Linked DNA regions of Macaca fascicularis. The protein of the gene in region 1 interacts with the protein of each later gene in a pairwise test. Links are inferred from orthologs where the notes say so. Each region holds a gene or a part of one and is shown on either strand. Other genes may lie near its edges.

The links.
Region 2: the proteins of BBLN (region 1) and CEP290 interact in binary tests that used the Homo sapiens proteins (3 or more experiments, as listed by UniProt). The two-hybrid records come from large-scale screens. The link is inferred for Macaca fascicularis from reciprocal best matches to the Homo sapiens genes BBLN and CEP290.
Region 3: the proteins of BBLN (region 1) and THAP11 interact in a two-hybrid assay, tested with the Homo sapiens proteins (2 studies listed by BioGRID and IntAct). The link is inferred for Macaca fascicularis from reciprocal best matches to the Homo sapiens genes BBLN and THAP11.

The regions. Positions count from the first base shown.
Region 1 is NC_088389.1:15,824,719-15,830,488, forward strand, and holds the start of BBLN (bublin coiled-coil protein), read right to left. Parts: upstream 3,819-5,770; 5' UTR 3,725-3,818; coding exon 3,646-3,724; intron 2,886-3,645; exon of another isoform or gene 921-2,885; coding exon of another isoform or gene 912-920; intron 417-911; coding exon 244-416; 3' UTR 1-243. UniProt on the Homo sapiens protein: Essential for intermediate filament organization in intestinal cells, interacts with intermediate filament and regulates intestinal lumen morphology.
Region 2 is NC_088385.1:95,075,662-95,081,300, reverse strand, and holds the start of CEP290 (centrosomal protein of 290 kDa), read left to right. Parts: upstream 1-2,385; 5' UTR 2,386-2,636; intron 2,637-2,922; 5' UTR 2,923-2,949; coding exon 2,950-3,051; intron 3,052-3,217; coding exon 3,218-3,295; intron 3,296-4,697; coding exon 4,698-4,767; intron 4,768-5,069; coding exon 5,070-5,116; intron 5,117-5,639. Other genes in the region: protein O-mannosyl-transferase TMTC3, read right to left, coding at 1,989-2,020. UniProt on the Homo sapiens protein: Involved in early and late steps in cilia formation. Its association with CCP110 is required for inhibition of primary cilia formation by CCP110.
Region 3 is NC_088394.1:63,892,323-63,897,596, reverse strand, and holds THAP11 (THAP domain-containing protein 11), read right to left. Parts: upstream 2,812-5,274; 5' UTR 2,577-2,811; coding exon 1,650-2,576; 3' UTR 1,291-1,649; intron 1,203-1,290; 3' UTR 955-1,202; downstream 1-954. UniProt on the Homo sapiens protein: Transcription factor, which has both transcriptional activation and repression activities. Also modulates chromatin accessibility.

The sequences.
Region 1 (5,770 bases):
GGGCAGGCATGTGGGTGGGTTGCAGGCCCCACTCTTGGCCCCAGGAGGGGATGCCAGGCAGTGGGGGCTGGCCCAGGTAGGCCAAGGGGAGGCCCAGGCAGGAAGGGTGGTCCAGGTAGGCAGACCCACCAGGGGACCCTGAAGACCAGCCCTTGAGAAGGTGTCTAAGCCAGGAGGTGAGTACCCAGGCCAGAGCCTAGCCCAGGGAGGCAGGGTTGGGTCCCGGTTGGGGGCTCTCGGAGCCTAGGGGCTGGCATCACTGGGGGCCTCCCCGAGCTGCTGCTGGAACTCCAGGCGTGTCTGCCGGTTGGACTCCAGCAGCTCCTGGAGGCGGGCGTGGAGGTGGTCGTTCTTCTCCTCCAGGTGGTCCAGACAGGAGTTGATCTGGTCCAGCATGGAGTTGATGGCAGCGTATTCTGGGAGGAAGGCGAAAGACAGAGCCCAGATCCTATGTCTCCTTGGGGCTAATGGCCACCCTCCCTCCACCGTTTCCCAGCCTGCTTCCCAAAGGGCTTTGTGCAAGTCCCTACTCCTTCCTGAGCCTCAGTGTCACCGTCTGGAAAATGGGTGGATACCAAAAGAGGAATGGCTTTGAATGAATGACACCTGAGTACTGCATCCTTTTTTCTAGGGTTAGGGTGGTCACAGGGTGGCAAGCCAGTGTCCTACATGGGAAGTCCGGCCAGGTGCCAAGTCTCTGCACTTTCTGCAGCAGCTGCTTAGTGGCCAGAGCCCACATTCCTGAGTTGGGCATTCAAGGCCCCTGTCCCCAGATGGGCCCTGTTTGCCAGCCCTTCTGTGGCTCCCTCAGGGTAAAACACCCAGCGGAGTCTCCCAGCCCCTGCCTCCTAGCTAGCCCTGCCTCCCTGCCTCTTCCTTTCCTCTCTCACACCTGCCTTTACCTACCTCAGGCCCTTTGAACATGCTGCTGTCTCTGCCTGGAATGTGCTGGGTCCTCCCATCTTCCTTCCCTCCTCTCCTCCTGGATGAGTCCCACTCATCCTTCAAGTCTCAGTATGGATGTCACCACCGGGAGCCCACCCAATGCCCCAGACTGGATCAGGCCTCTATGCTGAGCCCCTAGCCCTCCTCAGCCCTCCACGACCCTCTCCAGGATTGACTGCTGTGCTTATCTGAGTGCTGTTCTGTTTCCCCATGAAAGCTGAATGGTCCTGTGTTCGCTGCTGGCTCCCTGGCACCCTCACAGTTTTGCAATAAGCATTTGTTGAATGACTGAGTGAGTGAATGAATGAAGCCTCTGACTTTCCAGCCTCTCCGCCATTGCTCAACTATCCCTGCAACCTAGAATGCCTCAACCACAACAGCCCATCAAGGACCAGCTCAAAATGCCTCCTCCAAGAAGTCTTCCCTGATCTCCACTAGAAACCATCACTCCCTCCCCTCCACGGCCACTCCAGAGCTGCCTTGCTCAGCAACACAGTGTCCCTGAGGACTCAAGGTCTGGGCCTGTGCCCACTGCGGGACCCAGTTCTGAGCCAGCCCATGACTCAGATACACTCAGCTGCCAGCTTGAGACCAAGAGGGAAGCAGCCAGTGGAGGAGCTGGAGGAGCCTATCTGGGTTATGGGTGCACTTGTGCCTGTGTTCTGGGAAAGGGCACCCATTCCCAGCCACCCTCACAGAGGACAGAGTCCTGGGAAATTGGCTGCATCTTAAAGTCCAACCCCCTCGTGGTATATAGCTAGGGAAACCAAGGCCTCCAAAGGAACCTGCCCAGGATCCTCCAGGTTGGTAACAGAGTTGAAACTCAGGATTGGACTTGGAGGTCAGGGGCACTTGGGTTTGAATTCCAGCTCTGCTTTACCCCAGCAAGTTGTTGCACCTTTCTGGAAAAAAGGGAAAACTGGGTGGTCGTGAGGATTCAAACATATCAAGAGTTCAGACAGTGGCCAGCGTGGTGGCTCACGCCTGTAATCCCAGCATTTTGGGAAGCCAAGGCGGGTGGATTACCTGAGGTCAGGAGTTCGAGACCAGCCTGGCCAACATGGTGAAACACTGTCTCTACTAAAAATATATAAAAATCCTGTAATCCCAGCACTTTGGGAGGCCAAAACGGGCAGATCACGAGGTCAAGAGATCGAGACCATCCTGGCTAACACGGTGAAACCCCGTCTCTACTAAAAAATACAAAAAGCTAGCCAGGCAAGGTGGCGGGTGCCTGTAGTCCCAGCTACTCGGGAGGCTGAGGCAGGAGAGTGGCGTAAACCCAGGAGGCAGAGCTTGCAGTGAGCTGAGATCCGGCCACTGCATTCCAGCCTGGGCGACAGAGCGAGACTCCGTCTCAAAAAAAAAAAAAAAAAAAAATAGCCAGGCGTGGTGGTCACTTATAGTCCCAGCTACTTGGGAGGCTGAGACATGAAAATCGCTTGAACCCAGAAGGCAGAGGTTGCAGTGAGCCAGGATCATGCACTGTACTCCAGCCTGGGCAACAGAACAAGACTCCAACTCAAAAAAAAAGAGTTCAGACAGGATCTGGCCACAGCAAGTACTTAGTGGATATCATTATTATCAATATTTTGAATTCTGTGTCCTGGGATACAGGCTGGGAGGAGGAATTGGGGAGGCAGGTGCCCCACACCCCTCCAGGCCAGGCTTTATCTGTGTCAAGGGTACTTCCCAGTTCCAAGCCTTTGCTTCTGCCTGGGACACCACTGTCCTTAGTCCTGTCTGCCAGCATCCACTCAATGTGACCTCCTGGGAAGCTCTTCCTGATGCTCCCAACAGCATTGCCCAATGCAAACCTACCTAAAACTATTGTGGTGATGGATGCACAGCCCTGGGAATACACAAAAGCCCACTGAACTGTACAGTTTAAATGGGTAAGTTGTATAGCTCAATAAAGCTGTTACCCCAAACAAAACAAAGAGCATGCGCCATACTTACACCACATTTACTAAATCCTCAGTGTATGTTAACATGCCAATCTTTACCAAAGAGAATAATGACAATAACCATTTACTGAACTCTTGCATGCTAGAACCTGCTAAGCATTTCCCATTTATTTTTTGCATTTAATGCTGACACATCCCGGTGCAGGAGACACTAATCATTATTCCTATTTTATAGAGGGGGAAACTGAGGCTGAAGAATGTGAGAAGGGAGCTGATGGTTCTCTCTCCACACCCCACCCCTGCACTTGTAAGCACGCAAAAGGCTGCTCTGTAAGCTGCTGACATTTGGCAAGGCTGCGAGGCTACACCAGCAAAGCCAAGTGGCTGGGGATGCTGACTCGGCAGAGCGACGCCCCCGCGCCCCCCCAACCCCACGCCCCAGCCCGGCCTCTCCGCTAAGCCAAGCCGGCCAAGCTCAACCCTGCCTCAGGTGCCTCGGTCTCCCCCCAGGACTGAAGGAAGTGGTGGAGCAAGGCCCACAAGGGCGAGTGTCCCCGAAGCTGCCTCAATTTCCCCATCTGTAAAAGGGGACTGGTGACCCGCAGCTCTCACGGAGCTGGCGACCGGCTCGCGGGTGCTCGCCCTGCATCCGAGACAGCACCTACAACTCCGGACCCACTCGGGGCGGAATGGGGTGGGTTCTTTGTTCCCTTCCAAGACCCCATCCCGATTCCCCTTCCCGGGAGGGCAGCCCTGAAAAAGCAAGGTTGCTCCAGCAGCCCCCTCGGGTCACCTGCTTCCCCGAAGCCATCCTCCTCGCCTTCCGCTCCCGCCTCCACCGGCATCCCCAGGTCCCCGTTGGGGCCCGACATTGCGGGCTCGGGCGCCCGAAGGGCCGCGCGACGATGGAACGCGGCGACCGTCGCGCCGAAAGCCGGCGCCGGATGGAAGGTGGAGGCGGTGGATAGAACACCGGGCCGGAAGGGTGGAACGCGGCAGCAGATCTCCGCCCAGAGGCCGGGGCCCCACCCCTGAAGCCGGAATCCCGCAGATCTCGCTCCGCCCCGCCCCGCCCCCCAGCCGGAACTCCGCCCCCGCCCCGCGTCCAGACTCCGCCCCCACCGCCGGAGTCTCACCTCCACCTGCCTCACAGTCGAACTCCGCCCATTCCGCCGCTGGCTTCACCCGTCTCCTGGGCGCTGGGCGGGGCCACCACGGTGCTGTCCCTGGAAAAGCCCAGGAGTAGGGAGGTCCAGGAGGAGGGGCGGGAGACCTCCCAAGCCCATCTGCTGCTTCGACCCCTCCGCCTGGGCGAAATCGAAAACGGGTTTCCTTGTTATTTTTTGAGATAGGGTCTGGCTCTGTCTTCCAGGCTGGAATGCAGTGGGGTGATCTCGGCTCACTGCAACCTCTGCCTCCCAGCCTGAAGCGATCCTGCCACCTCAGCCTCCAGAGTGGCTGGACTACAGGCGGGTGCACCACGCTGGCTATTGTATTTTTTGGAGACGGGGGTTTCGCCATGTTGCCCAGGCTGCTCTCGAACTCCTGAGCTCGAGCCATCCACCCGCCTCGGCCTCCCAAAATGCTGGGGTTACCGGCATGAGCTACTGGGCCCAGCCTTGGAAACGGGGTTTCCATACCTCCTGTGGCTTCAGGACATTCCTCTTCACAGCCTCGCTGAGAGTCACGAAGGGTCTCCTTCCTCCTCGCCTCTCTGCCTGCACCCCAATGGGGAGGACCCAACACCCCTACCCCTGATCTGGGCCTTCCTGGTCTCCAGCGCTTCTTTTTTTTTTTTTTTTTTTTTTTTGAGACGGAGTCTCGCTCTGTCGCCCAGGCTGGAGTACAGTGGCCGGATCTCAGCTCACTGCAAGCTCCGCCTCCCAGGTTCACGCCATTCTCCTGCCTCAGCCTCCCGAGTAGCTGGGACTACAGGCGCCCGCCACCTCGCCCGGCTAATTTTTTTGTATTTTTTAGTAGAGACGGGGTTTCACTGTGCTAGCCAGGATGGTCTCGATCTCCTGACCTCGTGATCCGCCCGTCTCGGCCTCCCAAAGTGCTGGGATTACAGGCGTGAGCCACCGCGCCCAGCCAGCCAGCGCTTCTCTTAGGGCTCATTGGTTACAACCTGTGGGTGGGGATCAGGCTGGACTCCAGCTCTGGACAAGAGAAACAGGAACATTAGGCGGGATGGCTCCCACCTGTAATCCCAGCGCTTTGGGAGGCTGAGATGAGAGGATTGCTTGAGCCTAGGAGTTGGAGACCAGCCTGGGAAACATAGTGAGACTCAGTCCCCCATCTCTACAGAAAGTACAAAAAAAATTAGCCAGACCTGGTGGCATGCACCTTAGTCGCAGCTGCTTGGGAGGCTAAGGCAGGAGGATCACTTGGGCCCAGGAGTTCGAGGCTGCAGTGAGCTATGACTGCACCACTGCACTATAGCCTGGGTGACAGAGTGAGACTCTGTCTTTAAAAATAATAATTAATTAATTTTTAAAAAGTTTAATTAGCCAGGTTTGGTGGCACACCCCTATAGTTGCAGCTACTCAGGAGGCTGAGGCAGGAGAATCACTTGAACTGGGAGGCAGAAGTTGCAGTGACCAGAGATCGTGCCCTTGCACTCCAGCCTGGGTGACAGGGTGATACTTCATCTCAAAAAATAAAAATAAAAAAAATTAAATGTGAGGCCGGGTGCAGTGGCTCATGCCTGTAATCTCAGCACTTTGGGAGGCTGAGGCAGGCGGATCACGAGGTCAGGAGTTTGAGACCAGCCTGACCAACATGGCGAAACCCCATTTCTACTAAAAATACAAAAATAAACCAGGTGTGGTGGCGTGCGCCTGTAATCCCAGCTACTCAGGAGGCTGAGGCAGGAGAATCACTTGAACCCGGGAGGCAGAGGTTGCAGTGAGCTGAGA
Region 2 (5,639 bases), on another chromosome or scaffold:
AACAACTCCATCTTGAATAGGGGCTGGGTAAAATAAAGGTGAGAACTACTGGGCTGCATTCTCAGGATATCAGTCATTCTAAGTCACAGGATGAGATAGGAGGTCGGCACAAGATATAGGTCATAAAAACTTTGCTGATAAAACAGCATGCAGTAAAGAAGCCAGCCAAATCCCATCAAAACCAAGATGGCGAGAAAGGTGAGACGTCTGGTAGTTCTCACTGCTCATTATACACTAATTATAATGCATTAGCATCCTAAAAGACACTCCCACCAGCGCTATGACAGTTTACAGATGCCATGGCAATGTGAAGAAGTTACTCTATATGGTCTAAAAAGGGGAGGAACACTCAGATCTAGGAATTGCCTACCCTCTTCCCAGAAAACTCATGAATAACCCACCCCTTGTTTATCATATAATCAAGAAATAACTATAAGAATCCTTAGTCTAGCACCTCCAATGGGGGTGTGTGCACCTCCAGTTCTTTCTTGACAAGATACAAGAGCCCTCTCCTGGGGTCTGGATCAGAACCCCTTTCCAGAAACACCATCTCATGTTAAATTATGAATTAAGAACACTGAACATGAAGAATATTTAATTCAAATTAATTGAGTAAACACGTACAAAATTAAAATATAACATTTAATAAAAACAGCAAGATTGAGGCACAAGCACTTCACAAATACTGGTTTCCCAGAATGTCTGAGGAGGTGTATAGAAGTTAAGAATACGTCCTCCAGCCAGAGAGATCTGTGTTCAATCACACTATTTAAGTTAGAGTACTTAGCTTCTCCAAACCTCAGTTTCTTAACTTAGATGGAAAATGAGGACAACGTAAGCACCTATTTCGCTGGATTGTAAGGAAGAATAAACAAGATAATGAATAGTATTTGGCATAAAATCTTTCAGAAAAGTAGTAAAATTGTCATTCCTATAAATCTAACTAATGTCTTTAAAATTTATCTCACAAAACCAGTATATTTTTATTTTGTACTGAGCTATTTATTTTACCCAAATTGGGAGTTTAAAAAGAAATTCATTACTTATTTTCGAAAGGAAAATTTACCATCAAGTATAGTAAATTTTTTTTTAAAGCAGCGTTAAAAAAAAAAAAAAAAGAAAGATGAGAAGCACTGGTACAGATAGTTGGAAATGTCATTTAGATTTAAATCTACAGCTTCTTAGGAAAGTTAGTTAGAGGTGTATCGCACTCCAGTATGGCTATGAGCAGATGAGCAAAACTTGCACAAGTAAGCGTGGTAAACACCAGAGACGGCGCTTTCATGGAAGGACACCCTAGGTAACCAAGCAAGTGACAATAGTACAGGTGAGTCCTCGGGTACCTTCTCTCTCCACCCCCGGCAGTGGCCCGGACAAGCACTAACCTCTCCTCTCTAGAGCCTTCCCTTTATACTAGCTCCACAACCATCAAGTCCCACCATCTGCGAAGGGAATGGTGCTACAGGTAAGGCTGGCGGGGTCAGAGGATGCCGAGACCTCTTGTCAATTCTTCGCTCGCCCCCAAACGAGGATCACGGCTGCGCGGCTCTCACTCTACCAAGACAGATTCTGATACTAAACAAGGCTAAAACTTTTTGTTTTTTCCTTCTTACAGAAGGCACTACCCTGGACGCCGCCTACAAACGCCTGAAGAGAAGGCAGGGTGTTTCCACTTTTTCAGAATGGGGCCAGGCCCTACGGCCCCAATAGCAGAAGCTTCTCTAACCCAGACTGCTGCCCTCAACTCCTCCTAATACGCTGACCCACAGCTCGACCTCACCTGGAAGCGGTTCCGCCAGGGGATGGCTTAGGAAAACCTCATGAAGAGCGGCCCAGCGAGTGACGCCACTAAAGCCACAGTCATGGTCTACCTCGTTCAGGCCACCAGCTCGTACGCGCCTCAGCCACTGCGCCTCCCGCCTCTCGGTCCTTCCCCGCCGCCCCGGTACCGTCGCAGCCTTCCGCGTTGCACGCCGGGAGCGCCTTACCTCCTCTTCTCAGGGACTTCAGTTCCCAGCATGCACAAACCTCAGGCACATCTGCACTCTGGGATTTGGAGTCCTCGTTCCACGCCTTCTCATCATCCTGAACACCGAGTCCTGGGACTCCGGCGGAGAATCTAAACGTAAAGCATCACCCACGGTCGTGAATTGTAGGCTCTCTTTGCATCCGGGATCTTCTTCTGGCCCCGGCGGAGTTAGGGATGGTGTCGCTTAGCAGCCGCTGCCGCTTTGGCTTCCTTGGGGACCATTTGGCTGGACCCAGAGTCCGCGTGGAACCGCGATAGGGATCTGTCCAGCTTGGTGGTTGTGGTAGTGAGGGACCTCCGCTGGTTGCCAGGCTTGGTGTAGGTGGGTGGATCCCTGTAAGCAGGATCAGCGAGTCACTCCACGCTCAGGTTCTTTAGCCTCAGGGCCCGTGTGCCGCAGCGCAGCTACCCCGTCCCTTCCAGCCTCGGGTCCGTAATCCTGCCTTACTTCGGTTCCGGTTTCCGCCGCACAACTTCACTCATTCCAATTGTTAATTTCTGCTTTTTTTTTTCCAGCCCCAATTCTGCTTCTCCAAATCAAGGATCATTGTCAGCCTTCCACAGACCCTCGCGCTTGCCAAGATTAGGGTGTTCGCGCGCGTTGTGGGTAGGCGGTGTGGAGGAAGGGACCCAGAAATCTTAGTCCTAACTTAGATTAGTGTTAGCAAGGAAGCCGTCACATTTTATTTAGCCGGTACACTCTCTGACAGTTTGTGCCGACTGCTATTTTTGATCAAGGCTATTTTGCCCACTTGTCTGTTTTGTGGCTAAGGCATAGTTCTTTGCTAACATAAGAAAGTTATAATGAAATAATCTGCAAAAAATGTAGGCTATTAGAAAACCAATAATGCTGTGTACCTTGAAAATGCTAATATCCACCTGTTTTGTTACAGAGGTGGAGCACAGTGAAAGAATTCAAGATGCCACCTAATATAAACTGGAAAGAAATAATGAAAGTTGACCCAGATGACCTGCCCCGTCAAGAAGAACTGGCAGATAATTTATTGATTTCCTTATCCAAGGTGCTTACTTGGTCAATAATAATAGATATATACATTAACTTATGATTATTAATAAAATATGAATTTTTTTTCCAGAAACAACTATTAATTGTCACAATCTGGAAGAGTTCTTATATTTTGCTTAAAGGTTATAAAATATAAAACAGTTGCTTTTCTGTTTACTTAGGTGGAAGTAAATGAGCTAAAAAGTGAAAAGCAAGAAAATGTGATACACCTTTTCAGAATTACTCAGTCACTAATGAAGGTTTGTATGTAGTAGGTTTTAACGATAGGTTTGGCTATTAGAGGAACTATAAAAATCTGTTCTTATATAAAGTAATCTTTGTGAAAATACTTGGTAATATCTACATCACCCCTCAAAAGTGCAATATATTTAAATGTAGATTAAGTATTTTAGTGTGTAAAACATTGCTAGTTTCTACTTAAAGTTTCTAAAAGGGTATGTAGGGGAAATAGAATGAGTATGTTGAAAAATAACATAAGGAAATATATCCTGAGGTCCAAATGACAAATGCAGACAATGACTGCTATAGGGATTTGTTAAGAGGGGAAGTGATCCAAGAGGTGTCAGAAGACTTCACAGAGGATGAATACTGAGGAGTAGTTTTAGGTAAGTGGAAGGTAATGCAGTGGTAAGATAGTAAGGGAATTCTAGAGCTGTTGGTTACCATAAATAAATATTGAGGATAGGAAATATGTTTATTCTTTACATTTGAGGAAATGCGGTGCAGCAAGTTTGTAGCAGGCTGTAGAGAAAACAAATCTTGGGTAGGTACTTTGAGATAGGTTCTTGAGGTCATTAAAGGTGTATTTTATGCTGTCAGCAATTGAGAAGGCAATGAAGGTTTTCGAACCACAGTTGATAGGTACAAAAATAGGCCTTAGGAAGGCAAAACTGAGTCTATTATATAGGACAAACTGAAGGAAATCGGAGCTTTGCAAACATCACATTATAGAGGAGTTTAAACCTGAAATTATGCATTAGAATAATAGCAATTGGAACAGAAAAAAAGTAGTGGAAAAACATTACAAAGAGATATGTTGCTTTACTGGATATAAGACTTGAGGACTTGAGGTAAAAGGGAGAATCAAAAATGTTTCATGCTATTAAAAATCTAGAAATTGTCGTCTTAAGTAAGAAAATTGCCTGGCATGGTGGCTCACGTCTATAATCCCAGCACTTTGGGAGGCCAAGGCAGGAGGATTGCCTGAGGCTGGGAGTTGGAGACCAGCCTGGATAATATAGTGAGACCTTGCCTCTACGAAAAAATTTGCTGAGCATGATGGCACACCAAGCATGATGGCATGCCGAGCATGATGGCACGCCGAGCATAATGGCATGCACCTGTAGTCCCAGCTACTCAGGAGACTGAGATGGGAAGATTGCTTGAGCCCAGGAGGCAGAGGTTGCAGTAAGCTGAGATTGTGCCACTGCACTCCAGCCTGGGTGACAAAGTGAGGCCCTATTTCAAAAGCGAAAAAAAAGGAGAGAAAAAATTATTTATTTATTCAACAAATATTTACTGAAAGTCTCCATGTGCCAGCCATTGCTGGCACTAATGAGCTTAATAAAACAAAATTTTTATTTTCAGTGCTTACATTCCAGTTTAAAGGCATATTGAAATAAACTTTTTTTAAATGTTTAGATGAAAGCTCAAGAAGTAGAGCTGGCTTTGGAGGAAGTAGAAAAAGCTGGAGAAGAACAAGCAAAATTTGGTAAGCACCTTGGAAAAAGTTTATTATGTTATTAAATAATGAGTTCCATTTGTTCATTAAGCTGTAGAAAATTAAATTCTATAAACTGTATATATTCAATTTATTTTTAATATATAACATTTATTTAATAATACATATTTCTAGACTCCTGTTTTATGGATCTGCCGTATAATACTTTTTGTTACCTTATAATCATGATGGACTCTTTTAAAAGAATTAATTTTGTTATTAAAATTTATGTAAAAGTTTGTTCTGTGGTAACTAATCAATTAAAACATTTGTCTTTTTTTTTTTTTTAATAGAAAATCAATTAAAAACTAAAGTAATGAAACTGGAAAATGAACTGGAGGTATGTCTTTTTGTGTTCCCTAGGATGTAATTGTCATTAATTTTATTTTGAATTGTTTTCAAATTTTAAAATTATTATTGGCTGGAAAAATGATAAGGATGATTGTAATCATGGTTATTTGTTTATTCAGTATATGTTCTACATGCCTATTATGTGCTATATATATATTGTACTAAGGATTGAGCATACGGTTGTGAACAAAATAAAAAGCAGTTAACTGCTGAATGGAGCTTACAGTCTTGGGAATTATACAGAAAGATTACTAGTAACTGAGGTGGAGGGTGGGTGGGCATTTGAGGAATAATTACCAAAGGGTGTTATAGAAGTAATTTTTGACAAAGCTGAGGGCTAAAATATGAATATATTGTTGAGGAACAAAATACATAGAGACTTCTGAGAAGGTAGGAATGTAATGCAAATGGATCAGCCTTTGAAAGGAGGAATACCCTTTTCCTTTGTGTTAGGAGAGGAGGAAGAATGGATGAGGGGAGGAAGAGTGAATGTGTATAGAAGCTTTTATGTT
Region 3 (5,274 bases), on another chromosome or scaffold:
ACTTGGAGCTACAGACAAAAACAATGTCATCCTTGCCCCTTCGATATCCAATTTAAGAAAAGATAGAAGCTGGGCAGGTGGCTCACACCTGTGATCTCAGCACTTTGGGAGGCAGAGGCAGGCGGATCACCTGAGGTCAGGAGTTCGAGACCAGCCTGGCCAACATGGTGAAATCCGTCTCTACTGAAAATACAAAAATCAGCCAGATGTGGTGGCCGGCGCCTGTAATCCCAGCTACTCGGGAGGGTGAGGCAGGAGCGCGTGAACCCAGGAGGCAGAGGTTGCAGTGAGCTGAGATCATACCATTGCACTCCAGCCTGGGCAACATGAGCAAAGCTCCATCTCAAAAAAAAAAAAAAAAGGAAAAAAAAATAGAGGCAGCCAAGAAAATGAGTCAAGGGATCACACCTCCCAACTTCTTAATGCCCCCTGTGGATACAGATCTGTCACACCAAAGGTGTACCAAGGCCAAGGTATCTATACAAGAGTCCTTGTGCCTGAAGCAGCTTTGGCTAGCTCCAGCTGTGGTCTTACTGGTTCGTAGAGTAACTGCATGCACATGCATACCAGAGGCTGTGCTAAGCCTAAGGGATGTCATGGTGAGCAAAATTCAATCCCAGCTGAGAATTCAAAACCCTCAGAGGCGAACTATCACAATATAGTTTAGTAAGCAGTTGGTCCTTGTTGAAAGGATACAGGGAGATAACCCACGGACAAACTGGGCCCATTTGGTGCAGTTTCCAAACTCTTTAGGGTGAGCTGGGCCAGGAACTCTGTGAGGACCTTGTAAGGCCAGGATCCATGTGCTTAGGGTCCATTTTTGGAAAAACCTGGTCACTGAAGCATCTCTACTTTCAGGGTCAGCCTGGTCTTTCAAATAGGCTGAGGCCTATTTCCCCATGTTTCAAGGACATTTAACTATGTTTTTGTAAAAATAAAATGGCGAGACCCAAATAAAAACCTTACTTTTTGTTTAATTTGTTTTGCCAAACAAACACAGTGAAAACTTTAGTCTGACTAATTGTACAGAAAATAGAATTTGTAACCAGTAGCAAACAAAACAGGATAAACCTAAATCCCTGGCAAGCTGGATCTCCATCAGCAGGTCATCCAGATCCCCTTGTAAATGGTCTCCTGGGAAAATAAATCCTAGGAGGCAGAGGCACAGATTTACCAGTCCCCATCAGAATCACAGGCTGCACCTGGGAAGGAAAAGCATGAAAAGGAGAGCTGATGTTACTTGCATCTCTTATCACTACACACATTAGAGTTGTCTGACTGCTGACCAACCTTAAGGTATGGTTTATTCCAAACTCATAGTCCCTGGACATATCACCTGCATCCCTAGAGGGTAAGTTTCAAGTTCAGTGGTTCTGAAGCCTCTGCTTAACCAGAATCTGCAACAATAACTGGGGAAGAAGGGTAGACAAAGTCATAATTGCTGGTGTCACCAGGGCAGAGTCTAAGGCCCCAGCTTCCACTTCAGGAGGAAACAGTTGAGGATGCCAGGTCACCAGCAAGAGAGTCCAGCTGCCTTAAGCCTCAGTACTGTCAACCAGTGCCCCAGGAGTATAGAGGAGTTCAACAATGGCCTGCAGTCCCCTGGCTGGATGGGGTCTGGGAGTCCAGCAGGCCGCCGGGGCACCAGTTCACATTCCGTGCTTCTTGCGGATGACAGCCATGGCAAGCAGCCGATCCTTCTCGCGCAGTTCTTCGCGAAGCTTGGCCTCGGTGAGACGCAGATGGCGAATGCTGCCTTTCATCTCTTTCATCTTCACTTCCATCAGCGCCAGGATGTCCCGCTGCTCATTCAGCTTGCGCAGGAGCTCCTCCTCCGTGGTGCCTGACGACAAGGAGTACGAATGGTCGGAGCCAGTATCAGGGAAACCCTCTTCTCCTACCACCACCAACTGGGGGCCCATAGGGCACTCGGCAGCCTCCAGCCCTGCGGTAGCAGCCTGTAACTCCGACGCGGCGGCCGCAGCGGCTGCGCCCTCTGTGGCTGCAAACTCAACTTGCACTGTAAGATCGATGGGCTTCACGTCTTCTCCAGTGGGAGTGATGGGCGTCGGCGGCACGGATCCCGGAGCCTGACTGCTGTCTACAGCGGCCTGAAGGGTAAGAAGCACGGCCGCGGAAGCAGACACCAGGTTCGGCTGCAGCTGGGAAGTCTGGGCAGTGGAGGCAGAGGGTGACGGCTGCTGCTGTTGCTGCTGCTGCTGCTGCTGCTGCTGTTGTTGTTGCTGCTGCTGCTGCTGCTGCTGCTGCCTGCGGCGGGCGGCCGCGGCCCCAGCGGGTCTGCGCGCTACTTTGCGCTCATTGACGCCGCGCAGCGGGAAGATGGTGGGGACGCGTACCGTGTAGGTCTTGCGGCCGCCCTGGAAGTGAACGCTGCAGAGACGGTGGCCTGTGGTGGGCTGGAAGGTGGAGAAGCACCCACTGACGCCGGCACGCGACACGTTCTTGAGCCAGAGGCGCCGCAACTCAGCGTCCTTTGGAAACGTGTAGAAGTGCAGCGCCTTGTCCCGGTGCGAGTTGTTGTAGCAGCCTGGCACGCAGCACGTAAAGCCAGGCATGGCTGCGCCGCGCGGCCCGGCCCGGCCCACCGGCCTCCTGCGCCCTTCGACGGCCCAGTGGCTCCGCCGCCGCCCGCCCCTCGACGGGCGGCGCCGCGCGAGGCCTTGGGTGGTATCCCACCACTGCCGCTCGGCGCAGCCGGCCCGCCCGGCGCCCCGTGCCCAGAATACGCTTCCTGCCGGCCCGCGCCGCGCCGCCCGCCTGGCTGCCCGCCTGCGCTCGGGAGTCGGCCCCGGGGACGCCGCGAAGGACCGCCTGAGAAAGAGACTACGCCCCCCACAATGCCCCGCGCCAGGAGCCGCTCACTTCCGGGGCGGGTGTGTGCGGATTCCGGCCGCCTTCCAAGGCACGGCGCCAGCTTCCGAAGATCGGATTCTTTCTCCAGCCCGGCTTGTCCCCGGCGGGCGAGAGAGGCGTATTAGGTTGGAACGCTGTCGCCTGGACTGCTCCTTACGAGGACCCGAATCCTGATAGGGGCGTGGAGAGGGGCGGTGCGCGCCTCACCGGTGCGCAAGCGCGGTGGGTATATGCCCACGGAGACTACAAATCCCGTGATGCCTCGCCCTGAACTGGGCGCCTGCGACCCGAAGCGCCGCCTAAGGGAAAGATCGAGTTACTGCGGACCAGTATTCGGGCGAGGTTGTGCTGTTTGCCAGAACCAGTCCCCCAGCCCTGAGCGCCTTTGAGTCGACGGCATTGCTGCAGCAGAGGGAGACGAAACCTGGGCCTCAGCGCCCCGAAGGGTCTCAGGAGCCCCTTTGTCTGCGTTGGGGACTCTCTCCTGATTCAGCTGCTGCCTGCGTTGACTCCCTGACCTAAACAAAGTCTCCAGTAGACGCCTACTATGTGGCTGACCCAGTGCACGGAGTTTCCGGGAGTCAGACCGACTGGGCTCCTCTCTTGGAGCCTGACTGCCTAGACGGATGAGCCTCTGTCTTTTGGATAATAGATCTGAATGCACGCGAATGGATGTCTACTCACAGAAAGTAATCGCTCTAAAGGAATGAACAGGAGAGCAGAGAAATGGAAGCGGGGGAGGGGGTGGCCAGGAATAAAGAACGAAAGCTTGGGTAGGGAGAAGTACCCAGTTCGTGTCCCGGGAACCAGTCTGTAAGGCCACATGGCAGAAAAGAGCTAGGCTCCGCCCTTAAAGAACCTGGAAGGGGGTGGCCCAGGTAGACCAAGCGTAGGAAAATACCAAACTGGGACATGTTAAGGATTTGGGGTTTTATTCTGCAGGCCACACTGAGAGCTATTAAAGGATTTAATGCGAAAGGATTTGCATTGTAACAATACACCTCCCCCCTATCTCAACTTATTTGAGGGAAATTTTTGTGTGTGTGTGTAAAGGAGTCTCACTCTGTCGCCAGGTTGGAGTGCAGTGGTGAGATCTCGGCTCACAGCAACGTCCGCCTCCTGGGTTCAAGCAATTCTCCTGCCTCAGCCTCACGAGTAGCTGGGACGACAGGTGCACGCCGCCATGCCCGGCTAATTTTTTTTTTTTTTTTTTTTTCAGTAGAGAAGTGGTTTCACCATGTTTCCCAGGCTGGTCTCGAACTCCTGAGCTCAGGCAATCCGCCCGCCTCGGCCTCCCAAGGTGCTAGGATTACAGGCGTGAGCTAGTATCACAGCGCCTGGCCGGGGGAAAATGTTTTAAAGAACACAAAATGTTGTGGAAAGCCAGGGAGGGGCCAGGCAGTCCTTCAGGGGAATTACCTGCAAACTAGCCCTCCTCTGCCGAGTTCTTCCTTCTCCCAATTTTTTAAAAACTTATTTTTGGTTCGGGGGTACGTGTGAAGATGTATTGCATAGGGGAAGTCGTGTCACTGCGATTTGTTGTACAGATTATTTCATCACCCAGGTATTAAGCCCAGTACCCAATAGTTATCTTTTCTGCTCCTCTCTCTCCTCCCACCCCCCTCCCTCAAGTAGACCCCAGTGTCTGTTGTTCCCTTCTTTGTGTTCATGAGTTCTCATCATTTAACTCACACTTGTGAGAATATGTGGTATTTGGTTTTCTGTTCCTTCATTAGTTTGCTAAGGATAACGGCCCCCAGCTCCATCCATATTCTCACAAAAGACATGATCTTGGTCTCCTCCCAATTTTTCTTGTCTTTCTTTACCCTTTCACCTAACTCTCACTCCTCATTTTTTCTCTCCTGGTAGCAGGTCACAGGCATGAAATGGAAACCTAATATACATTATTTCTAATTATAGTATTTGACATAAAAACAAAATAGGGCCGGATGCGGTGGCTCACGCCTGTAATCCCAGCATTTTGGGAGGCCGTGGCGGGCGGATCACGAGGTCAGGAATTCGAGACCAGCCTGGCTGATATAGTGAAACTCCGTCTCTACTAAAAATACAAAAAAATTAGCCGGGCGTTGTCTCGGGCACCTGTAATCCCAACTACTCGAGAGGCTGAGGCAGGAGAATTGCTTGAACCTAGGAGGTCGAGGTTGCAGTGAGCCGAGATCACACCACTGCACTCCAGCCCAGGTGACAGTGCGAGACTCTGTCTCAAAAAAAAAAAAAAAAAGCTGTGCTTGGTGTCTCAGGACTGTAATCCCAGCACTTTGGGAGGCCATAGCAGGCGGATTACTTGAGGTCAGGAGTTCGAGACCAGTCTGGCTGACATTATGAAACTCTGTCTCTACTAAAAATATAGATCCAGAAATCCAGAAAAAATCCAGAAAT